Linked DNA regions of Macaca mulatta. The protein of the gene in region 1 interacts with the protein of each later gene in a pairwise test. Links are inferred from orthologs where the notes say so. Each region holds a gene or a part of one and is shown on either strand. Other genes may lie near its edges.

Region 1 (3,243 bases):
CCTGTAAGTGACATGTTGGCTATTTGGAGTTTGAAAGTGACAATGTACTATGTTGGCTCTCTGGAGCCTGAACTCAACAGCTGCATATAGGCAATAAGGATTAAGGGGCAGAACTTCCCTGGCACAATATTAAGGAATCCAAAAGCTCAGAGAATTAGGAGCAATACATATATATGTCCTGGTTTATGCCTGTTGTTACGGTCTAATTATTAATACTGCCCTCTTTGCCATCTGCTCAGCCAACCCTTACCCATGCCACCCTGGAGGACCCAGAGAACACACCCTTTGCCAGGGCTTTAAGAAATGCGTTGGTGAAGGAAGCATCAGAACCCTGACAAAGCCCTGAGGTAGCTGTCCCCAGCAGCCTGGAGTTGACAGCAGGGATTCCTAGGATTGGTTGTATTCCCTGATTTCCATGGGAATAACGGTAGTCACAGTGACAGTTCTAGAGGTCAGTGATAGCACTTAACTATTAAAAGACAATCATTTCGTTTTTTAGTGCTTGATATTTATTGAAAATAATGCCAATGCTTTTTCCAGGTAGTATTGAGGAGCTGGGCTGAGTGCTTGTTTGTTTTGTTTTTAGTACTATTTGTCCAAATGCATACATCTGTGGGACTGCTGCAATTTTGAAAGAAAAATGACAGCTGTGTAAAACCAGTGCATAGGAAAAAAGAAATATCAACAATTTGGCTGTCAGGCACACCGCGCCCCTGCAGCAATCTGGTATGGCAGGGGAGGACACTCGGAGTAGGTAGAAAACTAACCAGGCTGAATGACTGGCCTCTTCAGGGGTTGGTGAGCTGTCCAAATCAATGTCCGAAGAGGCAGAGCCAACTCTGGCATTTTCCAGGTTGGTCCTGATCTCGAAAGGCGGTAGTCTGTAGGTGGGATGTGGTGAGTGGATGTGAAGTGGCAGCATAGTTCTCTGGGCAGATGTAAGCCTGGCAGCAGGGCAGGTGGCAGCAGCAGGGCTATGGGTGGTCTGCGCAGTTTGTAACAGGGGCCTGGCCAATAGCTGGGGTTCAGGACACAGTTCAGATTAGCAGGGGAGGGATCCCCGGGATGGCCAGGGTAGATGACACTTCCAAGCACTTCCGAGTGAGTGAGGCTCCAGCCCCAACCCCAGCAGCAGGTAACTGGAGCACTATTCCTGGAACAAAGACAAGCACTACGGAGAAATGAAGAAAGAGCAGACGGGCGCGGGTAGGGAAGGGGACCGGAGGGCAAGGGGGAGAGCACTGGCTCCTGGCGGGGTGAGGGCTGCGGGGAGGGGGTGACGGCGTGCAGGGCCCTCCCCCCGAGGCCCGAGGGCCTAGTAATTATCCTCTTCGTCCTCGTCGTCGTCGTCTTCGTCGTCATCCCAGCCAAAGCACTGTTTCATCTCATCGAGGAAGGCTCGGTAATCACCTAGGATGGGGCTATCCATCTCGATGTAGGGCACCACCCACTCCTCGGCTTCCCCGGTGAGGAGACTGATTAGGAATGCCACCTTCATGGCGTCGTTGCAGAATCGGTTCTCGTTCACGAGCATGTAAGACGCTGTCTGCACGATAAACTCAGGGAGCCGGGAGCTCTCGCCATTAAACGTTTCGGGGAAGGGCACCGGGCAGCTCGGCGGACGTACCTGGCGCAGCAGGCTGGCCCTCTCGCACACCAGCAGCCGCAGCTGTTCCATGAGCTGGCTGTTCTCGATGGTCAGGGCGCGGTGCCGCATCAGGAGCGCGTGCAGCAGCAGCACCAGCTCATCCACCATTGCGAACAGCCTGGAAGGACAGGGCTCGGCTCGGTTCGGCTCGGCCAAGGTGCGCACGGAGGCCTCGCAGGAAGTGCGTGTCCACGGAGACGCTCGATGGCCAGGGGCTGGGGGCGGGGGGCGGTGCGCGCCGGGGTCCGGGAGGCTACGCAAGCTCCGCCCACGAGGCCATTCGGACGGATGGTGCGCCGGCGCGGCGCGGGAGGGGCGTGGCCAGACTGGCGGCCGCGGCTGCGTGGGGGCGTGGCCGGGATGGGAAGGGTTTAGACAAAGAGGGCGTGGCCAGGAAAAGGATGCATTGGGTCGCTGAACCACCGGCTTGTGGTAGGTCTCTAGGCGGGCAGTTAAAGGCTGGGGTAGGCTCCCCTAGCTCCTGGTTGTGGGGCCTGCGTTAGCAGAGGACCTGGCGAGCGCTGAGTTTGGTCTCAGAGAAGGCAAATTTGTTCAAACTGAAAGGATTAGCCACCCTTCTACCTAGGCAACTCTCACAACTCAGTTGTTCCTTCGTGGGTCTGTGGCCACTAGATTCTCTTGGCGTGATGTTTTATTAACACATTTTCTTTCTTGTTTAAATCTCACTCAGAGAAGTATTGACACTGCTGGCTGCACTGTGGGACTCACACTTCCTTTTAGGATCATGAAGACCTTCAGGGGTTCCTGCCTTTCATGAAAAAGGCAGTATTTAAACAGTGACTTCTTTAGTAGGGGAATAATATGGCATACTCCCTTAAAACAAACAAACAAAAAAAAACAAACCTAAGTAGCAGGATATAAAGAAGTTTTGCAAAATCAGCATCCAATAATCAATTGCAGGCATCCCACATATCTTTGATTCTCTATTTCTTGTCCTGCTATTAGTGCCTTTGGCCACTGGGTTTTATTCTGTACTTAAAAATGAACTGTTAAGATGTTTGTGTTTTTAAATAATTTTGTTTTTCTACTTTAAACGGATCCCTAGAGCCGACAGGAATTGTTGGCTCTGCTTTCAAATATATTGCCAATTCAGTCATGACTTGTCATTTCTACCACTGCCACCCTGATCCCCAGCCTTTCTCACCCAGACTGCTGCAACTAATCACTTAGCTTTCACTCTTTTCTTCCTATAGTATATTCTCCATAGAGTAGCCACAGGAATCGGGCGCGGTGGCTCACTCCTGTAATCCTAGCACTTTGGGTGGCCAAGGAGGGCGGATCACGAGTCAGGAGATCGAGATCATCCTGGCTAACAGGGTGAAACCCTGTCTCTACTAAAAATACAAAATATTAGCGGGGCGTGGTGGCAGGTGCCTGTAGTTCCAGCTACTCAGGAGGCTAAGGCAGGAGAATCGCTTGAACCCGGGAGGCGGAGGTGGCAGTGAGCCGAGATAGCGCCAGCGCACTCCTCCAGCCTTGGTTACCAAGCGAGACTCCATCTCTAAAAAAAAAAACAAAAACAAACAAACAAACAAACAAAAAACAGTTAGATCCCTTCACGCCCCTGCTCAAAA
Region 2 (4,114 bases), on another chromosome or scaffold:
AACAGATAGGCAGAGAGACATACTGGCAACAGAGGGACTGAGTTGGGAGTAGAGAGAGAAGGAGCCAGACAAAGACCCAAAGAGAGAGGGAGAAAATACCATGGATGCATAGAAGGAAGTGCAAAGAAAGGAGAAAAGAGAGGCAGAGGTATAATCACAGCAAGGTGCGGAGACGTGGAGACCCTATAAGAGAGGGAAATGGAGAGCCACAGAGCGGGAACTGCGGGCACTAAGACATGGAGAGAACTAGAAAGACAGAGACATGAACATGGACACAGAGACCCAGAGCCAAAAAGAGACAGAAATGGGGTCACAGGTGGACAGAAATGCACAGAGAAACTGTGAGCCTCCACGGACACAAACGCTGAGAGGGGCAGACATGCAGAGACAGCCACAGAAATGCAGAGACAAAACCACCTAGAGACACATGCCAAGAAACACACTGAGGGACCCAGAAAGAGACAGATGCAGAGAGAGCCCAAGACAGACCCCAGCGAGAGGCCCCAGGAAACACAGAGACGGACCACGAGAGGCAGAGGTACTGAGAGGTACTGAGAGGCGAGGCGGGGAGGGGAGGAGGCCTGCTCTCCAGGGCCGGCTTGAACCCAGAACTCAAGGTCATGGCTTGGCTAGGAAGCGCGAGGGGGACACCAAAAAGATCAGTGTTAGATGGAGGTGGGGAGGGAGGGGAGGTTTCACCCTAATTGACACCCCCTCTCCCTCCCCCTCCCCACACCTGCTTCCCGGCTTTAGTGCCTGTTGTCACCAGGATGGAATCCTGGTGGCAGACAAAAGGGTGGGGGTGGGGAGGGGGAGACAAAAAGATGGACAGAGACAGAGGGGGAGACGAAGAAGTGGAGACAGACACACAGAGATACACAGATGGAGAGCCACAGACACAACAGAAACGGGGGTCCAGAAAGAGACCACGGTAGAAAGAGGGAACGGAGAGAAGAAAACAGAAAACATTCCTTATAGCCCATTTGTCATTAGTAGGTCCTCCAAGGACCTACTGTGGGCCGGGCGTGGGGACGTCAAAGCACAGGGAGCTATAAGGGAGGTAGCTGCAGCACCATGAGACCTGGGGGTGGGGTGGGGGTGGGAGCGGGGCTCCTGGGCCGTGCAGATGGGGTTAGCATGGGGTTGGGGAGGGGCCTGCGGAGGCTTTTGGACTCTGAGTGTGGAGCCAGGGGCAGCGGGGCTGTCTCTGAGCTCCCAGACTTGTGTTTGAGCAATGGAATTCTCTCCCCCTCCCTCTCCCTTCGGGGCGGGGCCAAGCCTCCCAGGGCCAGCTATAAACTCCCGGTAGCTTCAGTGCCCTCAGCAAGGCTCAGCCACGAGCTTCCCAGCATCTCAGACACAGCCTAGGTAAGGGGCTCTGCGGGGCCCTGTGGTCTCCAAAGACTGTGTCCTTGCGGGAGGGGGCAGGAGGTGGGTGGGGAAGATGTGGGGTATGGAGAAATGGTGCAGAGGTAGGTGGGGCAGACAACTGGAAGTCTGGGAACTTGAGAGGCTCAGACTTCAGGGGGACTCAGGATAGAGGGGAAAATACTGGGATTTGTGGGTCACACAGATCCGAACCCGGGGTTGCCAGGACTTGGGTGTCCCAGAACAAAACCTCCTAGGATCTTGGGGTTCTGGGAATCTGGGGGAAATCTCAGCAGTCAGGGATATCTGGACTTGGAGGTCAAACAGTCTGGGTGTCAGGATTTGGGGACTCAGACTCTGAGGGTATCAGGAATTGGGGGTGGGTCTCACAATCTGGGGTTTTAGGAGTGGAGGCCTCGGAATCTGAGGTATTATGATAGAAAGCACGAGAACTTGGACTGTCATTATCTGGGTATCATGAATTGGGCCTCCGAGGTTAGGTATCAAGATTTTGGGGGTCTCATATTCTTGAGGTTTCAGAATTTAGGTCCCAAGACCTGGGAGTGGTCTTAAGATGTCCCGGCCCATATCTGGACTATCAAGAACAGCTGTGAGGACTCGCTGGTCTCAGAAACATGGGCATCACAGATTGGGGTCTCAGAATCTGTGGGTATTGGGATTTGGGGCTAGGCACCCTGTGGCCTAGGGAATCTCAAAGACTTTGAGGTCCAAGAATATAGGGGTCCGGGTGAGGTCTGTGGACAGAAGGTGCCCTTTATGCTCCTGCCCCCTGCATGATGTATGGGAAGGTGAAAGGGGAGACAGGTGGGGAGGAAGCCAGCCAGCGGGGAGGGGTGAGTGGGAGAGGGGATGAGGGTGACTAATTCTCCCAGAAGCCCCCCTTCCTCAAATCCCTTCTTAGGAAATGTCCTCTGTCTCACCATCTATGACATCCCCCCGAAATAGCTCCTGGGGGTGGGGCAGCTATTGTCTTCAGGCCACTGTCCCTTCTCAAATGCCTCCTCCTAATCCCAGCTGGATCAGGTTCCCATGGACTTGTCATAAGACAAAAGAGGACAGCTGTGAGGAGGGGGCAGGGTCTGCAGCCTCCTGGCTGTGCCAGGACCACACCTACCAAGGTCTGTCCTCATGCGTGCTTTAGGACAGCCAGCCCCCTCCCTCGGACCCAGGAGTCCAGACCTGAGCCCTCCTCCCTCAGACGCAGGAGTCCAGGTCCCCAGCCCCCTCCTCCCTCAGACCCAGGAGTCCAGACCCCCAGCCCCTCCTCCCTCAGACTCAGGAGTGCAGACTCCCAGCCCCTCCTCCCTCAGACCCAGGAGTCGAGACCCCCAGCCCCTCCTCCCTCAGACCCAGGAGTCCAGACTCCCAGTCCCTCCTCCCTCAGACCCAGGAGTCCAGGCCCCCAGCCCCTCCTCCCTCAGACCCAGGAGTCCAGACTCCCAGTCCCTCCTACCTCAGACCCAGGAGTCCAGACTCCCAGTCCCTCCTCCCTCAGACCCAGGAGTCCAGACTCCCAGTCTCTCCTCCCTTAGATCCAGGAATCCAGGCCCCAGCTCCTCCTCCCTCAGACCCAGGATTCCAGACCCCAGCCCCTGCTCCCTCAGACCCAGGAGTCCAGACTCCCAGCCCCTCCTCCCTCAGACCCAGGAGTCCAGGCCCCCAGCCCCTCCTCCCTCAGACCCAGGAGTCCAGACTCCCAGCCCCTCCTCCCTCAGACCCAGGAGTCCAGACTCCCAGTCCCTCCTCCCTCAGACCCAGGAGTCCAGACTCCCAGTCCCTCCTCCCTCAGACCCAGGAGTCCAGACTCCCAGTCCCTCCTCCCTTAGATCCAGGAATCCAGGCCCCAGCTCCTCCTCCCTCAGACCCAGGATTCCAGACCCCAGCCCCTGCTCCCTCAGACCCAGGAGTCCAGCCCCTGGCCTCTCCTCCCTCAGACTCAGGAGTCCAGACCCCCAGCCCTTCCTCCTTCAGGCCCAGGTGTCCAGCCCCTGGCCCCTCCTCCCTCAGAACCAGGAGTCCAAGCCTCCATCCCCTCCTCCCTCAGACCCAGGTGTCCAGGCCCCAGCTCCTCCTGCCTCAGACCCACAAGTCCAGACCCAGAAGTCCAGACCCAGGAGTCCAGGCCCCAGCTCCTCCTCCCTCAGACCCGGGAGTCCAGACTCAGGAATCCAGGCCCCCAGCTCCTCCTCCCTCAGACCCCGGAGTCCAGACCCAGGAATCCAGGCCCCCAGCTCCTCCTCCCTCAGACCCAGGAGTCCAGACCCAGGAGTCCAGGCTGCAGCTCCTCCTCTCTGACCCAAGAGTCCAGCCCCCAGCCCTCCTCCCTCAGAACCAGGAGTCCAGGCCCCTGGCCCCTCCTTCCTCAGATCCAGGAGTCCAAGCCTCCATCCCCTCCTCCCTCAGACCCAGGTGTCCAGGCCTCAGCTCCTCCTGCCTCAGACCCATGAGTCCAGACCCAGGAGTCCAGACCCAGGAGTCCAGGCCCCCAGCTCCTCCTCCCTCAGACCCAGGAGTCCAGACCCAGGAGTCCAGGCCCCCAGCTCCTCCTCCCTCAAACCCCGGAGTCCAGACCCAGGAATCCAGGCCCCCAGCTCCTCCTCCCTCAGATCCAGGAGTCCAGACCCAGGAGTCCAGGCCCCCAGCTTCTCCTCCCTCAGACCCAGGAGTCCAGACCCAGGAGTCCAGGCCCCCAGCTTCTCCTCTCTGACCCAGGAGTCCAGCCCCC
Region 3 (3,500 bases), on another chromosome or scaffold:
GTTTCGCCATGTTGGCCTGGCTGGTCTCGAACTCGTAGCCTCAACTGATCTGCCCATCTTGGCTTTCCAAAGTGCTGGGATTACAAGCATGAGCCACTGTGCCCAGCTATATATATTTTTGTGTTTGACACAGGTTCTCACTGTATCACTCAGGCTGAAGTGAGTGCCTTGCTGTGGTCACGGCTCGCCACAGCCTTAACCTCCTGGACTCTAGTGATTCTCCCACCTCAGCCTCCCATGTAGCTTGGGACCACAGGCATACACCACCATGCCCAGCTAATTTTTTTATTTTTAGTAAAGACAAGGTCTAACTTTGTTGCCCAGGCTGGTCTCGAACTCCTGGGTTTAAGCAGTCCTCCTGCCTCAACCTTCCAAAATGCTGGGATTACAGGCATGAGCCACCGCACCTGGCCCCCTCATTAATTTTCTAAGGTTAAACTATTCTTGTAGTCTTGAGCTAAATTCTAATAAGTTGTGTTGGCTTAGGGGTTTTTTGTTTCGGGTTTTTTTTTTTTGGTAGTTTTTATATCGCTGGGATAAATTTGCTCTTATTTAATATTTTTGTATTTGTGTTTGTAAGTGAAATCCACCTAAAGTTTTCCTTTGAACTGTCCAATTTGGTTATCAAGGTTATACTCATAAAATAAGTTGGTTAGTTTTCACTGTCTCTCTTTGTTCACTAGAATTGTTTATATTTGTAGGCTGGGTGCTATGACTCACGCCTGTAATCCCAGCACTTTGGGAGGCCGAGGTGGGCGGATCTTGAGGTCAGGAGATGGAAACCATCCTGGCTAACACGATGAAACTCCATCTCTACTAAAAATACAAATAATTAGCTGGGCATGGTGTAGCGCATGCCTTTAGTCCGAGCTACTCAGGAGGCTGAGGCAGGAGAATTACTTGAACCCAGGAGGCGGAGGTTGCAGTGAGCCGAGATCATACCACTGCACTCCAGCCTAGGCGACAGAGTGAGACTCCGTCTCAAAAAAAAAAAAAAAAAAGAATTGTATTTATAACAGATTACCTACTCTTGCAGGTTTGATAACACATAAGGTAAAGGAAAAGAAGGTAGAAATAAGTAAGATTAGAATATTGAGTCATGTGGTAATATGTTATAAAGGCTGCCGTGGAAATCCCAGAGGGAACTACAAGAATGCCTGAGCAGCATTTTAGTTTTATGTTCCTGCAGAAATCATCCTTACTATGTGGTGGGCACTGTTACAAATAATTTGTTTAAGGGTATAGTTGAGGTGGGATGCCATGAATTTGTGATGGATGCAGTCTGCCTTTTTGCGGGGGACTTTTTTCTACTGTTTCACTGCCTGCCTTCCTCCACTTCATTGTACTCAAGGTAAGCCTCATTATCATCAGTGTTGGCTTTCACAAGGAGGCAGTCTCGTGACTTGGCCTTTGTAGGAAAACACTATTAGATGAATAGATGGTTGGGTAGTGGCTCTTTTCTTCTCCTGCTTAGACTCTTGTCTACTATGAATAAAGGGTTCTATTTGCAAAGGCCATAATGGGATGAAGCACATTGAGAAACAGGCTACTGAAACATAGTTATTTTTCTCACCCAGGTGAGATTTCAATGGAAAAAGTGAAGGTAAAGCGTTATGTGTCCGGAAAGAGGCCAGACTATGCCCCTATGGAGTCCTCAGATGAGGAAGATGAAGAATTTCAGTTCATTAAGAAAGCCAAAGAACAAGAAGCAGAGCCTGAGGAACAGGAGGAGGATTCATCTAGTGACCCCCGGCTACGGCGTTTACAGAACCGTATTAGTGAAGATGTGGAAGAGAGGTAATGTCTGTGATTGTGTTTTACTTGAACATGAACCTCTACAGCTTAATAATAATAGCTAATACTTGAATAGTACTGCCAAGTAGCTGACATTTGCTAATTGTTGTAATCCATACAATAGCTTTATGAAATAGGTGCTATTATCCCCATTTCACAAAAGAGGAAACTAAGAGCACAAAGGGGCTAAGAAAGTTACATGACCAAAGTTACAAAGTGGCAGCTTCAGAAAACAGCAGGTTACTTCTGGCCTAAAGGACCTACTCAACTCCTTACGGGAATAGAAAACACAGACCATTCGTTGGCTGTTGAGGGGAGTCTTTTTAGCACAAAGATGTTTTATAAACTTTGGTAAATTGATTTTATACATCTGCTTATTCTAAATGCTAATAAGGGGAAATGACACTGAAGCAGGAGAAAAGACCTCATAAAGGTCTCATTGTAGAAAGTCTCCCAGTGAGGGATTTTGTATGTTATATACTGATTGAGACATTACCTTAATAGAGCAGACCAGGGGTCCTGAACTTTCACCGTTCATAATTGTCCCAGGGGTTTTTTCACAGAGCTCCTGGGCCAAAACAGTTCTGTTTATTTTAGTTAGTAAGTAGTTAGAGCCAAGTAACTTAATAAGTATTTATGTCCTAATAACTTTGCCACTTGAAAATTACAGTGCCCATGGCCGGGCGCAGTGGCTCACACCTGTAATCGTAGCACTTTGGGAGGCCGAGGCAGGTGGATCACGAGGTCAGGAGTTCAAGACCAGCCTGGCCAACTTGGTGAAACCCCATCTCAACTAAAAATACAAAAAAATTAGCCAGGCATGGCAGTGGGCACCTGTAATCCCAGCTACTTTGGGAGACTGAGGCAGAGAATTGCTTGAACTTGGCAGGCGGAGGTTGCAGTGAGCCGAGATCATGCCACTGCACTCCAGCCTGAGTGACAGAGTGAGACTCCGTCTCAAAAAAGAAAAAAGAAAAAATAAATAAAATTACAGTGCCCATGGGGAAAAAAACACTTTTATTCATTCTCACATAACCACAGTTACTAGTGGAATTTGTGTGCCTATTGGACACTGACAGCCTTGCAGACCTTGGAATCAGCACTGTCACTTTTTCATGTCTTGTTTTATATTGATATTCACACTGTACTTTTTACCACAGCAGCCACCAAAACCCAATTTCACGAAGATACGATATTCTCAAAAGGAATGTAATATGACTTAATGTTGAAACTGAATTACCTTGAGCTATTGAAAATATCCCAATGCAGGCCACGCTCGGTGGCTCACGCCTGTAATCCCAGCACTTTGGGAGGCCAAGGCAGGCGATCACCTGAGGTCAGGAGTTCAAGACTAGCCTGGCCAACATGACGAAACCCCCTCTCTAGTAAAAATACAAAAATTAGCCGGGTGTGGTGGTGCACGCCTGTAATCCCAGCTACTCAAGAGGCTGAGGCAGGGAGAATCGCTTGAACCTGGGAGGGGGAGGTTGTGGTGAGCCGAGATCACGCCATTGCTCTCCAGCCTGGGTAACAGAGTGAGATTCTGTCTCAAAAAAAAATCCCAATGCATCCCTATGAGTTTGCTGGCTTGCTGTGGTGCCTTAGGATGCCTCAACATACGTTTAGTATTTCAGGCCAAACTTGGCTATTTGCTCTGATATCCTAGTCTAGTTCCTTTAATCTGCACCTCAGTTTCCCCCACCTCA
Region 4 (4,267 bases), on another chromosome or scaffold:
ATGTCCTCCTCCTCCTCTTTGTCTCCCCCTCCATAAAGAAATCAGCATTTCCTGCATTTGTATCAGCTTCTCTGTAAATGTTAAAGAACAAATTTGGCAGCCTATAATTTAGATGGTGACAGAGGTTTTGGCAGGTAAAACCCAGACTTCCAGGACTGGCTGGAAAGTAAACTTACTAATTATTTTAGTTAGATTGGCAGTCAAGGTGGAAAAATGAGAGCTAATTTATTGGCAAATACTCTGTTGCTCTCAGAAAATGTTGAAGGTCTTTTGGTGCTTTAGGATGTGTGCCAGTCCAGGGTGGCCCTGACCTTCTACAGCCGTTTCAGAGAGGATGTGCCTCAGGTGGCCTGAAGATACAGTAGCCTAAAACTTAGCACACAGTCACTGATTGAGAAGCTGAACAGGAATAAATTTTGAGGGCAGAGATCCTGAAGGACACGACAAGTATTTACAGGGTACTGTAAGATGGAGGCGGCGGCGGCGGCGGTGGTGGAGGCGGCGGCTGTGGCGGCGGGTACTGTGGTACCGGAGGCTGGCGGTACCAGTGTGGATTCCAAGTGATCATAACAGGTACATATAGTGATCTTCCTTGTCCGTCTCTTCCCACTGGGTACCAGGCGAATCCTACTGGGTAGGTCGGGTATGCGGCATACGTGGGGTACGTTTGGTATCCAGGTATTTGAGGTACGAATTCAGTGTACGTTGCCAGGTGCGCTTGGTCTTCTAAATTTGGAATAGATAGGCGAGGATACTGATTCTGGATAGTAAAATTGTTTGGAGCTCGGCAATCGTAAGAAACTTGCAGTTTCCACCCCCTCTTCACCTGGAGAACTTGGGCTCCATTAGGTGCGATCGTTGGAGTAATCAGCCCATCTTTCACATTTCTTGCCACAAAATCTCGAAGAGCTGCCATTTCAGGTTCAGACAGTGAGTACACATGTCCGCTGGGAATACTGTGTGCTCCAGGTATCATTTCTATGTGAGGGTCAACCAGGCGGTGATCTGGGTAGACGTGCTCATCTACTGGAGTGTACACATTCTGGACATAGTAATATCTCACTGGTTGGTAAACTCTGTATCCATCTACTGGATAATAGAGTGGCGGTTGTTGTGCTGGTGGTGGGAGCGATGGTGGTATTGGAGAATACATCCGGCAGTGGTAGCGGCAGTATTCAGAATCAAAGACAATAGATCGAGTGCTCCATGTGATGTTGGGATCATGTGTGCTCAGCCAGCGAACCCCTAGGACGACAGGGAAGAATGGAGACTGAGTCACATCAAATGACAGCACTTCACGGTGATCTCCCAGGTCAACTATCAGGTCGTGAGTTTCGTGGACAACTGGGCCCGATGCTATGGGGCGCCCATCAATTGCTTCCACAAGTATTGGCCAGTCCTTGATTCTTAGAGGAATTCCATTTTGAGCAACGTATTCGTGATCAATGAAGTTGCCAGAAGCACCAGAATCGATCATGGCTCGGACGAACAGGGTGTGTCTGCCCGGAAGATGAATCTGGAGCATCACTTGCAAGTGTGGAGATGAGGCGTCATCTTGTGGGGACCTTATTATTTCTGGCCCGGTCGCTGAAGGTCCCTCTACAGCGGGGCCGGGGAGTTTCCCGCCGGCGAAGACTTCGAGGCCTTGGCAGGACAGTTGTCAGCGTAGTGACCTCCTGTTCCACAGTAGAGGCACAGGTTCAGCTTTCTGCGTCTTTCTTTTTCCTCCTGGGTCAGGCGCATGCGGGCACCTCCCACCGGCTCGGTTGGATCTACCTGGTGGTGGCTTGCAACGTGAGGCAACACCAGCGCCCGGGGTGGTGAGCGTGGCTTGCGAGCTGCAGCAGCCCTGGCCAGCCTTCTCTCAATGTGAATGCACTGCCCAATCAGAGCAGACAGCGACTTGGCGACCTCGAGGTGGGAGAGCTCCTCCTGAATGTGGTCGCTGAGGCCCTCGTGGTACTGGTCAATCAGCGCAGGCTCGTTCCAATCCAGGTCCTGGGCAATCATCTGGAAAGCATTGGAATAGTCGATGACAGACCCCATGCCTTGGCGCAGGCGTCTGATCTTGCGTTTGGCAGCCTCTCGCCTCTGAGGGTCTTCAAAGACATGCTTCATTTCCATCATGAAAGCTGGGTAGTTGTGCATCAGGTAGTGGGAGCGCTCCAGCTTTGCTGAGGCCCAGCGGGCAGCACGGCCGGTCATCATGCTTGTCACGAAACAGACACGGACACGATCAACTGAGAAATCTCTGGTGCTCTTTTCCATGAAGATCTGGCACTGGGCCATGAAAGGAGCCAGCATGTCTGGGTTGCCATCGAACTTCTCTGGAAGGTCTTCTGGGCACTCTTCCTCTATTGGAGGGGGTGGGGCAGCAGCTGCTGCAGCACCGCGGAGCTCGATGTCATCATCATCATCCTCAGGGGTGGGTTCCACTTGCTCTCGAAGGGTGGTGTTCTCCTCTGTGAGCTTCTGCACCTGGTTCTGCAGGTTGCTGTTCTCCTCGGACTGCTTAATGACCTTCTCTCTTAGGTTGTTGATCTCTTCAGAGAGCTCATCCCTTCTTCGTTCGGTCATGTTGGGGACACACGCGCTCTTATGGCCGGTGTGCTTGGAGTTGTTGTTGTTGTTGTTGTTGGGGGGAGGGGGAGGGGGAGGAGGTGGGCAGTCGGGACCCAGGGTGACGGTTGGGGTGGGAGGAGACCTCCCAGCTGTAGCTTCACTTCTGTGGGGATGGAGGCCTGGATCCTGGCCCCCTCTTCCACTCCTTCTTTTTTTTGTTTTCAAAATCCGCTTATTTCTGTAAATAAAGATAAATGTATAAATCCAACTTATAGATTCAAAGCAGCAAAATGCAGACACAAAGGATTTAGTATTTAAATTATCCCTTGCTCCATGCACTTACTTTAATAATTAGCGAACAAAGAAAACAAACTTTCAAGAGAAAAGTATCAATCAGCACCATAGATAACAAAAAGGAAACTACTTTTTGATGTTCAAATGACCTTGTCTTCCTCAAAGGCCACCTGTTCATTATGATTCAACAATACATCATCAACAGCATGCTTACCTTTATAAACTATAAAAGAATGTTGAAACCCTCTAAACAAGTAGTTTTGTATTGAAACAGAGGAAGAAACTTCAAGGCAAACATAGATACCAAATCAATTATGCAAATTAAAGCCAAAATAATAACTTTTGTTACTAAAGAAGCTAGGCCAAAAATAGTTAATACTACAACTAATAGAAGCTAATTAAAAAAGAGGGGAGTATTAAAATCACAATGCATGTATTCATCAGCCCTGTGGGCGGGAGGAGGGTACTGTGGCCAACTGTCACAACCCTGTTTCACTGCCACAGAGAAGGTCACTGGTTATCAAATCAAACAACCACCACCACAAAAACTACAGGACTGCCTAAATTACTTTTCTGACCATAATTTAAATCCCCAAAGAAAATTCTCTGTGGGACAGAAATGGCACTAAGCAGCAATATGTGTATGTCAGTTTCCCTTGTCATTTATGCAGTCATTCAAGAAATACTAATTGATGCCTCCTAGGAAAAGCTATAAAATGGGGCATTCAAAGAAGCCCAATAATAGTATACCTCAAACTAATTGTGAGGACTTAATTAAATAGTGCAGGTAAATTATGTAGTGAGTATTCAATAATGGTTAGCTGATATTAACAAAGTTATTAATTAGAAAATAGAAAGGTGATTATCTGTGTGAAGAGAGTGGGATTAAAAGAGGGAGGGGCTGCAACTATAGCAACATGGGCATGCATTTCCCACCTAAAGATGTTTACTTTTTTAAAAACACTGTGTTGGTCAAATCCAAGGCCTTATTTGTCTTGCAGGTCACCAGTTTGCAATCCATAGTTTTTAACCAAGATTTGTCAGCATAGCCCCAAATGCAGGTTTGTAATGTTAAGGTGGGACAGGGCTGCATTCCTGCGGGTGAGTGGATGTGTGTGGGGAGGTGGGGGTAGGGTGTGTGTTTAAGCATTCTAATTATGAGTGCAATGACAATAAATCACACACATAAAAAATCCTGACACAGTGTCTGCCTGTGTACTTCCTGAAAATACAGTTAAATACATTTAGAATGATTTAATTATTTTAAATTTTATTAATAATCTCAAGTCCCATATTCGGAAAATTTAAATACATAAAAAGTTTAAAACATAATATGTAAAAGTTTAAAAAAGTTTAAAAAACTTTAATTTAAAAAGTTTAAAACTTTTAAAGAAAGTTTAAAAAGTTTATA
Region 5 (3,500 bases), on another chromosome or scaffold:
AGTCAGACCATACTAATAGAATTTTCAAAGTCAGTTTCAAGTGTTATTAAGTATTATCTGGTCTCAGGTATTGCTAGGGACAGTCAGTAGCCTCAATGAGTTCCTGCTGCATGGCAGGGGTGAACCAGCTCTCTTGGCCCTGGTAATCTGGGGTTCCCAGCTGGAAGCAATTTTCCTGACACTCAGTCTCAGCACTGTGAGCTGTTCTTAGGGCCCCTGAATGTCAGCTTGTTCTGGGAAATGATGTCTCCCATAGCTGAAAGTGAATTTCACCTGCCTATCTTCTAGATCATGCATAAGTTTGGTGAAAGCAAATGATGCAGTAACAGACAGACTAAAATGTAACTTTATGTATACATATTTAATTAGAATAGCCATAAACCAAAAAGAAGAAAAAACTCAGGATAAAATGTCACTATCATTTTGTTTGCAAGGAGTCAGGAAATGGAACAAGTTACCAGAAAAATATTCTAAGACCATCCCAAAGTAGCTAGGTTACATAATCTTAAGAGTCAAATGCCAAAATTAAGTATTATACCACTTAATCCACAAATGAACAAAAGAGGAGTCAAAAGTTTATCCTGTTTAGTGTAATAACTTTTACATTAAATATATAGTGATTCACTTCTCACAAAGTGGTGCTGGCAACTTTTAGAAGAAAGAAGTTTCCATTATGCATTGACTAAAAAATCTCAAAAACAACTAAGCAGCTATGCTATAGCTCAGTAAGTACCATTAAACTGTTCTGGGCTAGTGTACATTTCAGGTTAATAGAGATCTACATTTTGGGTTTTAGAAAGGCAGCAATAATTATATTTTGGCTTTTAGTCTAGATGCTTAACATAGTTAAGGCGACAGTTTAAGCATATTAAATGAAGGTAGTTAAAATTTAAGAATCATCACAATCTCTTGCAACCTACATACACTGTTTAATGCTTACATGGAATGAAACCAGTGTTCTTAATTGGCATTTTATACACACACAGAATTTTTTTAAAAAATCAAAGGCAATCATTCTAAATGTACTATGGTAGCATGTTAAAAATGCAAATATGCTATAGAACTAAAGTAATATGAACAGCACTACTCATTACCTAGGAGAAAGGTGACTGGTTTTCACACAAAGCTAAGCCTGTATCAGTCATCCTAATCACAATGGCTTATAAAAGCATCAGGTTTCCAGTAGAGAAACTGTTCTAGGAAAGTCAGTAAATCTCTTGAAAGTTTCACATCTGTAAAACCAGGATAAGGCTACAACTATTTTGAAATCTGAACAAGGTATCAGATGAAAATAGTAAGATTCCCAGCCATAATGTAAGATAGAAAAGTCCTCATGCAGCATATGCTTGCTGGCTCCGGGAAAGCTTCATGTGCATAATACAGAAGTTGCCAAAGAAGGAAACTGGAGACGTTCAGCTGCATTTCCATGGTGCCGTGAATTTTAAACCTCAGGAATGGTGTGGTCCATTAGGCTTTTCATGATGCTTGGTGCCATCCTACAAAAGAGGTGCTTTTATTATATACTGAGATTCTGTCCCCCCCCCCCGAAAATGCTATGTTAATCCAAGAAAATTCCCAATTCCAATTTAGCACCTGTTAGCATCAAATGTGAATGGAGAGAAGGGAAAGATCTTTTAAATGAGTCCAGAAGCATCTCTGGTAATCTAGTTGTTGACAGACCCTCAGTGGGAAAGGCTATCTGTATTTGGCTAGAGAAGTTAGGATACAAATGAATTCTTGTACATTAAACCTGGTGATTTTTTTTTTTTTTTTTTTTTGAGGCGGAGTCTGGCTCTCTTGCCCAGGCTGGAGTGCAGTGGCTGGATCTCAGCTCACTGCAAGCTCCGCCTCCTGGGTTCACGCCATTCTCCTGCCTCAGCCTCCCGAGTAGCTGGGACTACAGGCGCCCGCCACCTCGCTCAGCTAGTTTTTTGTATTTTTTAGTAGAGACGGGGTTTCACTGTGTTAGCCATGATGGTCTCGATCTCCTGACCCTCGTGATCCACCCGTCTCGGCCTCCCAAAGTGCTGGGATTACAGGCTTGAGCCACCACGCCCGGCCAAACCTGGTGAATTTTAAAAAACAGAAAATGACACGGCTGTGATGAGTTGGGGTAGAGGGATCCATCAGTGATTTAAAAAAAGAGAACCTTAGAACAATTAGTCATGACAATAACTCCTTTTTACCCCCTCGAAGCGTAGGGAGGTGCATTCTATCCAGAAGCCAACATACAAATTTCATTACAATGGTTATGTTTATGAATCTTTTAAATCTCATTTTCACATGCATGATAGAGGTTCTGAAAGAAGGATTCCAAGCTGGCTTGACAAAAACAGCTATGGTAGATGCTAGGATACGAAAAGCTGTATAGAAGTAACCTTGTTGCCTCTTTTCATTTCTGATCACTTGGCTTTCTAATCCTCAGTTCCTGAGCACAGATAGCACCAACACACCACACATGTCTATCTGCTTCCTGAGATTCTGGAGAGAAGGGAAACTTACTCCTAGCATTCCACCAGCAAGAATTCTCCATTACGAACCACTACAACTATATTTATACTGAGCAGAGGAGTGGCAGGCAGTACAACTGCAGTCAATTGTACTGCAAATTGAAAGCTAAAAGCATGCCCACTTTTCCTTGCATTCTTCTACTAGGCAATATCAAAACTGAGGAAAGTATATGTGGATTTTATTCCATACTTGGGAAGTTGTAAGAGCTCATCCTTACCAACCCCGCTGACTTAAATAACTTACTTCAAATTTCTAGATAAACACCAGTATTCATTCCTTAGGTAAAAGACCCAAAGGGCTGAGAATTAAACTATAGTGCTTACATTAAGTCACACGACCATATGCATTAAGTTGAGGAATTGTTTACTTACCGCTTAATAATATGTTCAAAGATAAAAGCAGGCATGATTGTAATAGTAACTACAGTCCCAGATGTTGATAGTATGTCTGCAATTTGAGAGTCCTGATAAAAACACATATTAAAAATCAATTCCACAGAGGCTTTATTTAATAAATACAAAATTATGCCAGTCTTGGTAAAGAAATACAAAATATATGTCCTGTTATGTTTTGTTAAGATCTCTAAAATCCTGCTTGGTATTTCTAATTTTTTTCTAGTATTTCTTTTTTTTTTTTTTTTTTGAGACGGAGTCTCGCTCTGTCGCCCAGGCTGGAGTGCAGTGGCGCGATCTCGGCTCACTGCAAGCTCCGCCTCCCGGATTCACGCCATTCTCCTGCCTCAGCCTCCCGAGTAGCTGGGACTACAGGCGCCCACAACCGCGCCCGGCTAATTTTTTGTATTTTTAGTAGAGACGGGGTTTCACCGTGGTCTCGATCTCCTGACCTTGTGATCCGCCCGCCTCGGCCTCCCAAAGTGCTGGGATTACAGGCGTGAGCCACTGCGCCCGGCATTTTTTTCTAGTATTTCTTACCAAGTTTAATTGTACACTATTTTACAGCTAGTAACCAGTTTGCTTAAGTAAACTGAG
Region 6 (3,500 bases), on another chromosome or scaffold:
AGATGATCATGGGCCCACAGTAAAGTGTGGACATGTGTGAACACAGGTATTGCTTGTTTATTCAATGGAGGTGTGGCCGTGGATCCCTAAGTTGTCTTTGGAGGTGGTGAATACAGGCCGTCTCATCCTTCTCATGCACTGAATGTGCCCTACTGTACCCTGAGGAGGGGGCAGGGAGAGGCAAATGCCTGATCCAGCCGCTTGTCTCCACAGGCGACCACCCCTACGAGTGTGAGTTCTGTGGCAGCTGCTTCCGGGATGAGAGCACACTCAAGAGCCACAAACGCATCCACACGGGTGAGAAACCCTATGAGTGCAATGGCTGTGGCAAGAAGTTCAGCCTCAAGCATCAGCTGGAGACGCACTATAGGGTGCACACAGGTACTGAAGGCCAGGGAGGGGTCTGAGCTGGCTCTGGGACCTGGGTGGAGGTGGGAAGCAGATGGTCTCCTGGAGAAGCCTAAGTGAGGATGATCCCAGGCTGAATCAAAGAGTAGAAGAGGTTCTATTAAGGGCTGGTATGATGACCTGAGGGCCACCACACCCCAGTCAAGGTGGCCTGAGGGCCACCAGTCAAGGCCAAGGCAGACATTACTAATCAATCCCAGCACACTTTCCAATGAGCCCCCACCAGCTCTCCAGGCAGTTATACCAATAGTTCAGAGGTGACATGCAAAATGATGTCTGTATATGAGTCCTAAATTAGGGGTAAGTTGGTCCAGTTAGCTGGAAGCGAAGGTTAGGTCCAGTTAACATGAAGCGAATTTCATGTTACTCAAGGGTTACAGTAAGAATTAGGATGCATTGAATCAGGTTATGATGGAAGTTGGGAAATTGTAAAGTTAGATTGTGTTTGGTTCTGAGATTAGAAGAGCAGATATATTTAATAATCCCTATATGCATATGATGTTTTACCATTTCAGAGTGCCTTCACATTTTTTTTTTTTAGACAGAGTTTCGCTCTTGTTGCCCAGGCTGGAGTGCAGTGGCATGATCTCAGCTCACTGCAATCTCTGCCTCCTGGGTTCAAGCAGTTCTCCTGCCTCAGCCTCCCGATTACCTGGGATTACAGGCGTGTGCCACCATGCCCGGCTAATTTTGTATTTTTTTTTTAGCAGAGACGGGTTTGCCATGTTGGTCAATCTGGTCTCGAACTCCTGACCTCAAGTGATTCACCCGTCTCGGCCTCCAAAGTGCTGGGATTACAGGCATGAGCCACCATGCCCGGCCACATTATTGTTTGTATTGGAAAAAGAAATGTGGGCCACTGCTTTTCCTGAGGTCAGAAGACAAAAGAAGTGAAGGGTCTTCCACAGTGTCCGAGGTTGGGGGCAGTGGAGTATTGGAGCTTGCTTGTGAAAGCTAATTTTTCACATTTCTTCACAACTTCAAGTTCAGCGACATCACCTTAGTTGCTTAAAATTGGCCCTGGTAGGAGTATTCACATCATAGCAATCAGCAGATGCTACAAACCAGGGCTTTTTAGAAAGCCAGTTGTTAAACATTTACCACCAGCACATTGCTGGTTGTGGGGAAGGCTGATTTACAGAAGGGTAAGAGGTGGTGGCACATGGAAAACAAAGAAACCCCTCTGATCGGGGGGGACAGCTGTCCTGTCCAGAGGAAGGGGGAGAGGTGGCTTCAGGCAGGTCCTGCTGGCTTAGAGGAGAGTACATTGCCTTTGGAGGGGAAGGGTGGACAGAAGGAGCAGTAAGCAGAGCTACGTGTTGTCAGAGCTCAGTTTTCGTGCCCCAGTTTGAGCCCCCAAGGACAGGGTTGGGTGTCCATTGCTGACACCTATAGTGACCCAGAGGATTTCCCAGAGCCCTGGGGTTTCCTTAGCCCCTTGTCGGGGATGTGACCTGGCAGGTGGATCATTAACTGTATTGGCAGTGACTATTGTAAATAGCTGGTCGATGGTTAGATCACTTTGGCTGTTCATTACTTCATTATTTGCTGGGGCCTGTGCACGGAGGAGTATTGATAGCGAGATGGCTGGCCAGTTAATTACTGTATTGAAACAAGGTTCCCTCACATCCTCTGCTCAGCTCTAGGGGACTCTATGGAAGGAAAGTTGGGGTATAGAAGGCTAGGGTGTGGCTGTGTACTCCCAGGTTCTTTATCCTTCCCATCCCACCCCACCCCCAATTCTAGCCTCAGGAGGGAGGCAGGGTCCAGGGCAAAGTCTTAGCAGTTTTAGCAGGATAGGCCGGGTGCGGTGGCTCATGCCTATAATCCCAGGACTTTGGGAGGCCGAGGCAGGCAGATCACTTGAAGTCAGGAGTTCAAGCCCAGCCTAGCCAACATGGTGAAACCCTGTCTCTACTAAAAATACAAAAATTAGCCAGGCATGGTGGCAGCACCTGTGATCCCAGCTACTTGGGAGGCTGAGGCAGGAGAATCACTTGAACCCAGGAGGCAGAGGTTGCAGTGAGCTGAGATCGTACCACTGCATTCCAGCCTGGGCAACACAGTGAGACACCATCTCAAAAAAAAAAAGGCTTTAGCTGGATAGAGGTTCCCAGGTGCGGCATATTTGAAGGACTGGGTTCCCTCAGTTTTCCCCCACCCCTGCTCCCCACCATCTGTAGCCCTGAAAGGTCTCGATCCACCTGCTCCCTGGATGGAACTGCGGCTCGAAGAGCCATTCCTGAGGACCGTGGGGCCTTTCTCTTTCTAGACACTCATTTTCTTAATTAGAAAGGGAAAAGACTGTGGCCTTAGGAGAGTTAAGAATAGTAAGACAAGGAACTGGGCAATCCAGTAGTCAACTAGCTACATGTAGCTATTTAAATTAGTTACAATGAAATAAAATCAGAAAACTGTAGAGCTCCAGTCGCACCAGCCTCGTTCATAGCCATGTGTGACTGGTGGCTGCCGTCTTGGGTGGTGCCTTCATTGTCCCAGAAAGTTCTGTTGGAACAAGCCCAGCAGGAGGAACCCAGCTTCCCTGGCACACCTGAGGGTGACATGGTGCCCTCACCGCCCTCTGTCCTCACTTTCTCCTGCCCTGTCCCTCTGCCCTCAGGTGAGAAGCCCTTTGAGTGTAAGCTGTGCCACCAGCGCTCCCGGGACTACTCGGCCATGATCAAGCACCTGAGAACGCACAACGGCGCCTCGCCCTACCAGTGCACCATCTGCACAGAGTACTGCCCCAGCCTCTCCTCCATGCAGAAGCACATGAAGGGCCACAAGCCCGAGGAGATCCCGCCCGACTGGAGGATAGAGAAGACGTACCTCTACCTGTGCTACGTGTGAAGGGAGGCCCGCGGCGGTGGAGCCGAGCGGGGAGCCAGGAAAGAAGAGTTGGATCGAGATGAAGGAAGGACTATGAAAAATAAAAAAGGAAAAGAAAAAAAAAAAAGAGAAGGAAAAGGAAACCTGATAGCTTTTTGGCCTTGGATTCTCTCTGGGCTCCAGATGACCTGGATGCCAAGCCACTGCCCCTCCTCTGGGGGCCTCCACCCTCCTCTCCCGGCTGGAGGTTTGCCTGATTTTCT
Region 7 (4,127 bases), on another chromosome or scaffold:
ACTACAGGCGCACGCCACCACGCCCGGCTAATTTTTGTATTTTTGGTAGAGACGGGGTTTAACCGTGTTGGCCAGGATGGTCCGATCTCCTGACCTCGTGATCCACCCGCCTCTGCCCTCCAAAGTGTTGGGATTACAGGCGTGAGCCACCGCGCCCGGCCTTTTTTTTTTTTTTTTTTTTTTGAAACAGAATCTCTGTCGCCCAGGCAGGCTGGAGTGCAATGGCGCGACCACGGCTCACTACAACCTCGATCTCCCGGGCTTAAGAGATCCTCCCACTTCAGCTTCCCGAGTAACTGGGACCACAGGCGCATGCCAACATGCCCAGCCTTTTTTATTTTAGTATTATTATTATTATTGTAGCGACGAGGTCCCACTGTATTAAAATAATATAGTGATCTCGAACTCCTGGGCTCAAGCGATCCTCCGCCCTCGGCCTCCGATAGTGCTGGGATTACAGGCTACCGCACCCAGTCTCTTTTTTTACAAAGAATGTAAATAGCCGGTGGATGTTAGATTGGCAGCTGTTTGCAAAGATGTCAGACTATTTCATTACGGAAAGATGCTCTCAAAAGACAAAATAGGTAAGTCGAAAGAACGTGTCCATTTTTTCTCAGTGGCCTAATCAGGTATCATGCTTGGTTTTGAGGACACAGAAAGACAGCGCCCTCATGGAGTTCAAAGTCTGGTGGAGGAAACCAATCATAATAATAATGAGGGGTTAAAGACAACAGAGCCTTGAAAGATAACATCTCCAGGGAATAAGGAAGAGCATTCCAAGGTATCTTGCCAAATGGCAAAAACCGCGGTTACTTTTGCACCAACCTTAATACAAATAAAAGCATGTACACAAACAAGATACTCGAGGAAGAATACGGCTGACACACAGAAACGGATCGTTATCTTGGGGCTTTCCTGCAGCCTCGTTTCTTTCAGTCACGTAACACCCCAAAATCTGTGGACGGTGAATGAGAGCTAGTATCACCCGGAGTCACGGCTGTTGCCTCGTAAGACTTTAGATGCAGCCCGCCACCGGGAGAAACTGGAGGGAATCCGCAATACACAGGAACCAAGAAGGGCTACGTGACAGGGGGTCCCCCGCAGCTCTCAGCCGCCGGCACTCCCAGCCCTGGGTTTCCCGCCAATCTCAGTTACTAGATCTTCCCAGGCTCCGCCCGCCGCCGAGCGGTCGGAGAGTTTTAAGGAAGGGGAAGTGTTGCAAGCCTATCGATATCTCTGGAATAGACTGCGCTACCCTGCGCCGCCGCCATCAGACTCCCGCAGACTTCTCTGTAGATCGCTGAGCGATACTTTCGGCAGCACCTCCTTGATTCTCAGTTTTGCTGGAGGCCGCAACCAGGCCCGCGCCGCCAACATGGTACGTTGAATCCCGACCTCTGGAAGGTTTAGGGCAGAGCTCCGGTGACTCGGGGATGACGAGCCACCTCTCCTGTCATCCTTAGCGCCGCCCGGGGCCACGAGGTATGGGAGCCTCGGCAGACGGCCGGGCTCCGGCAGTGATTCAGCATCTCCGGCCTGGCCGGGTTAGGGGCTGTCGGTAGCCAGTGCGGCCTTTCCACCGCTTTCGCTTCCCGGGGAGCCTCCGACACTTCCTCCTCTGTCAGCTAGATGAGTTCGCCCCTCAGGTTCCTTCAGTGGAGTAGATTCTGAGCGGTCCAGAATAGCCCCTAGTGCTGTGTATGGGAGAGGAGAAGACAGAGACTTGGAGGCCTACCTGTACCACCAGTGCGGACTTGACCCCCAGGTTTGTGTTCCTGGACCGCGTCCGTTTTCCTGGTGGGTCCGTCTGATTTATCTCTCCCCTAGACTTCGGTTAGAAGAGGCCCTTTTCAATAATTTTGTCCAGTCACCTATTTACAGATGAGTAAGCCGAGGCTGAGAAGGGAAGTGATGGAATCTGGGTTACAACATAGGGTTCTGGGTTTCCAGTGCTGTGCTCGCACTCAATCTCACTCCCGTGATTAGTCTCCCCAGCACTGCTAGACTTATTATAATAGTCATAATAGCCGTAATGGTTCTATCGCTGCAGCTGTTTGTGTCCACCTCTAACTTTCTGAGGACATTTTTGTTCATTCAATATGAATATACAGACAGAGCATTTGTACAAGCATAACTACAGTGAACGTTCAAAAGTCATACATGTCCCTAATCATAAAAGCAGAAAGGGACGTTTAGATAAAGAACTGTGGGAGTATGTGTTAGGGGGATTTGGGAAGAAAAGCTAATCATAAAAACAGAAAGGGACGTTTAGATAAAGAACTGTGGGAGTATGTGTTAGGGGGATTTGGGAAGAAAAGGAGAAGACTTCCAGAAATCGACATTTAAGCTAACTTAAAGAAGAGAAAGGCTTTTAACCATTTATTAGGTCCCAATAAAAGGGAGCAGCATAAGCAAAAATAGGCAAGAAAGTTGATTGTGAACTTTAGTAATTGAGCCTAAAGGGATTGCTATGAAGGGTTTTAGAATAAGAGGTTGGAAAAATAGGACCCATTTAGATCTGCTTCTCCCTCTCCCACCAGTTTATGGTAAATGTAGAATTGGCTTACGTCTGAGTACAGTAGTAATCTTCCAGTAAGATTGCATGAACAGAGTGCCTTAACATTGAATGGAAACACAAGCATATTTCTTAATGAATGTTAGAGTTGGGATTTGAAATGTTCTTCTATTAACAGGTCTTTTTTTCTTTTACTTTTAGTTTCGAAATCAGTACGACAATGATGTCACTGTTTGGAGCCCGCAGGTAAAATAATGTTTTTTAAACTATTTCTGTGAAATGGCTTTTTGTGGCTGCAATATATTTAGAAGCTTGTGAGAGCATAGGCTTGGGGAAAATGGAATATAATATTTTAGTCGTTCTTGGAAGTTGCATTTATAATTAAAATAGGTCTCCTAATGGACCTAGAGGACATTATGTTAAGTGAAATAAGCCAGAAACAGAAAGAAAAATATTTCATGCTCTCACTTATATGTGGAATGTTTTGTTTAAAAGAGCAAATATATAGAGAGAGAGAATAAAACAGTGGTTACCAGGGTAGGGAATAGCAGTGGGGAGGAAAAAAGAGGAGATACAAAGTATCAAATATGTAGGTTGAGCAAGTGGAAGGATCTAAGGTACAACATGAAGACTACAGCTAATAATGCAGGTAGTGTTTTGTATTCAGGATTTTTGCTAAGTGAGTAGTTGATAGCTCTTGCCACAGCAGAGGAAAATGGGTAAGTATGTGAGACAATGGATGTGTTCATTCTGCGATAGTGACCCTACTATATATGTGTATCTTACAACATCATGTTGCATACCTTAAGTATATACAACAAAATTTATTTTAAAAGAAGCTTTTGGCTAGGCGCAGTGGCTTATGCCTGTAATCCCAGCACTTTGGGAGGCCGAGGAAGGTAGATTGCTTGAGTCTTGGAGTTCAAGACCACCCTGAACAACATGAAACCTGGTCTCCACAAGAAATACAAAAATAAGCTGGGCGTGGTGGTGCCTGCCTATAGTCCCAGCTACTGGGGACGGTGATTTGAGAGGATTGCCTGAGCCCAGGAGGCAGAGGTTGTACTGAGCTGAAGATTGTGCCACTGCACTCCAGCCTGGGTGACAGAGTGAAAACCTGTCTCAAAAAAAAAGTTTCTTGATTTAAAAAAAAAATCAGTTGAGATTTAACTATGCCCACCTGACATTTGAAAACTCTAATTTTTAAGTTATAAAAGGCCTTCTAAGATGTGGTTTTGTTTTTTTTTTTCTTTAGGGCAGGATTCATCAAATTGAATATGCAATGGAAGCTGTTAAACAAGGTTCAGCCACAGTTGGTCTGAAATCAAAAACTCATGCAGTGTTGGTTGCATTGAAAGTAAGTAAAGTAATAAATATGTCTTCCTCTGTAAAAAACTATTAATGTAAATTTCACCATAGACAGTAAGGTTGTAAACTTATTTTTACATTTTTTTTTTTAACATCTTATAATGTCTCCATTTAGAGGGCACAATCAGAGCTTGCAGCTCATCAGAAAAAAATTCTCCATGTTGACAACCATATTGGTATCTCAATTGCGGGGCTTACTGCTGATGCTAGACTGTTATGGTAAGTATAATCATGAAAAATAAAC

The links.
Region 2: the proteins of LDOC1 (region 1) and TNNT1 interact in binary tests that used the Homo sapiens proteins (3 or more experiments, as listed by UniProt). The two-hybrid records come from large-scale screens. The link is inferred for Macaca mulatta from reciprocal best matches to the Homo sapiens genes LDOC1 and TNNT1.
Region 3: the proteins of LDOC1 (region 1) and MFAP1 interact in binary tests that used the Homo sapiens proteins (3 or more experiments, as listed by UniProt). The two-hybrid records come from large-scale screens. The link is inferred for Macaca mulatta from reciprocal best matches to the Homo sapiens genes LDOC1 and MFAP1.
Region 4: the proteins of LDOC1 (region 1) and PEG10 interact in binary tests that used the Homo sapiens proteins (3 or more experiments, as listed by UniProt). The two-hybrid records come from large-scale screens. The link is inferred for Macaca mulatta from reciprocal best matches to the Homo sapiens genes LDOC1 and PEG10.
Region 5: the proteins of LDOC1 (region 1) and SDCBP interact in binary tests that used the Homo sapiens proteins (3 or more experiments, as listed by UniProt). The two-hybrid records come from large-scale screens. The link is inferred for Macaca mulatta from reciprocal best matches to the Homo sapiens genes LDOC1 and SDCBP.
Region 6: the proteins of LDOC1 (region 1) and ZBTB16 interact in binary tests that used the Homo sapiens proteins (3 or more experiments, as listed by UniProt). The two-hybrid records come from large-scale screens. The link is inferred for Macaca mulatta from reciprocal best matches to the Homo sapiens genes LDOC1 and ZBTB16.
Region 7: the proteins of LDOC1 (region 1) and PSMA1 interact in binary tests that used the Homo sapiens proteins (3 or more experiments, as listed by UniProt). The two-hybrid records come from large-scale screens. The link is inferred for Macaca mulatta from reciprocal best matches to the Homo sapiens genes LDOC1 and PSMA1.

The regions. Positions count from the first base shown.
Region 1 is NC_133426.1:147,689,452-147,692,694, reverse strand, and holds LDOC1 (protein LDOC1), read right to left. Parts: upstream 1,851-3,243; 5' UTR 1,757-1,850; coding exon 1,316-1,756; 3' UTR 501-1,315; downstream 1-500. UniProt on the Homo sapiens protein: May have an important role in the development and/or progression of some cancers.
Region 2 is NC_133424.1:67,462,197-67,466,310, reverse strand, and holds the start of TNNT1 (troponin T, slow skeletal muscle), read left to right. Parts: upstream 1-1,314; 5' UTR 1,315-2,517; coding exon 2,518-2,601; intron 2,602-4,114. UniProt on the Homo sapiens protein: Troponin T is the tropomyosin-binding subunit of troponin, the thin filament regulatory complex which confers calcium-sensitivity to striated muscle actomyosin ATPase activity.
Region 3 is NC_133412.1:21,198,518-21,202,017, reverse strand, and holds part of MFAP1 (microfibrillar-associated protein 1), read left to right. Parts: intron 1-1,577; coding exon 1,578-1,797; intron 1,798-3,500. UniProt on the Homo sapiens protein: Involved in pre-mRNA splicing as a component of the spliceosome.
Region 4 is NC_133408.1:124,716,020-124,720,286, forward strand, and holds PEG10 (retrotransposon-derived protein PEG10), read right to left. Parts: upstream 2,801-4,267; 5' UTR 2,680-2,800; coding exon 1,600-2,679; coding exon of another isoform or gene 452-1,599; 3' UTR 21-451; downstream 1-20.
Region 5 is NC_133413.1:69,261,866-69,265,365, reverse strand, and holds the end of SDCBP (syntenin-1), read right to left. Parts: intron 2,975-3,500; coding exon 2,883-2,974; intron 1,497-2,882; coding exon 1,442-1,496; 3' UTR 460-1,441; downstream 1-459. UniProt on the Homo sapiens protein: Multifunctional adapter protein involved in diverse array of functions including trafficking of transmembrane proteins, neuro and immunomodulation, exosome biogenesis, and tumorigenesis.
Region 6 is NC_133419.1:114,997,010-115,000,509, forward strand, and holds the end of ZBTB16 (zinc finger and BTB domain-containing protein 16), read left to right. Parts: intron 1-213; coding exon 214-381; intron 382-3,028; coding exon 3,029-3,258; 3' UTR 3,259-3,327; downstream 3,328-3,500. UniProt on the Homo sapiens protein: Acts as a transcriptional repressor. Transcriptional repression may be mediated through recruitment of histone deacetylases to target promoters. May play a role in myeloid maturation and in the development and/or maintenance of other differentiated tissues.
Region 7 is NC_133419.1:50,928,364-50,932,490, forward strand, and holds the start of PSMA1 (proteasome subunit alpha type-1), read left to right. Parts: upstream 1-1,327; 5' UTR 1,328-1,375; coding exon 1,376-1,378; exon of another isoform or gene 1,379-1,765; intron 1,766-2,716; coding exon 2,717-2,761; intron 2,762-3,770; coding exon 3,771-3,872; intron 3,873-3,998; coding exon 3,999-4,102; intron 4,103-4,127. UniProt on the Homo sapiens protein: Component of the 20S core proteasome complex involved in the proteolytic degradation of most intracellular proteins. This complex plays numerous essential roles within the cell by associating with different regulatory particles.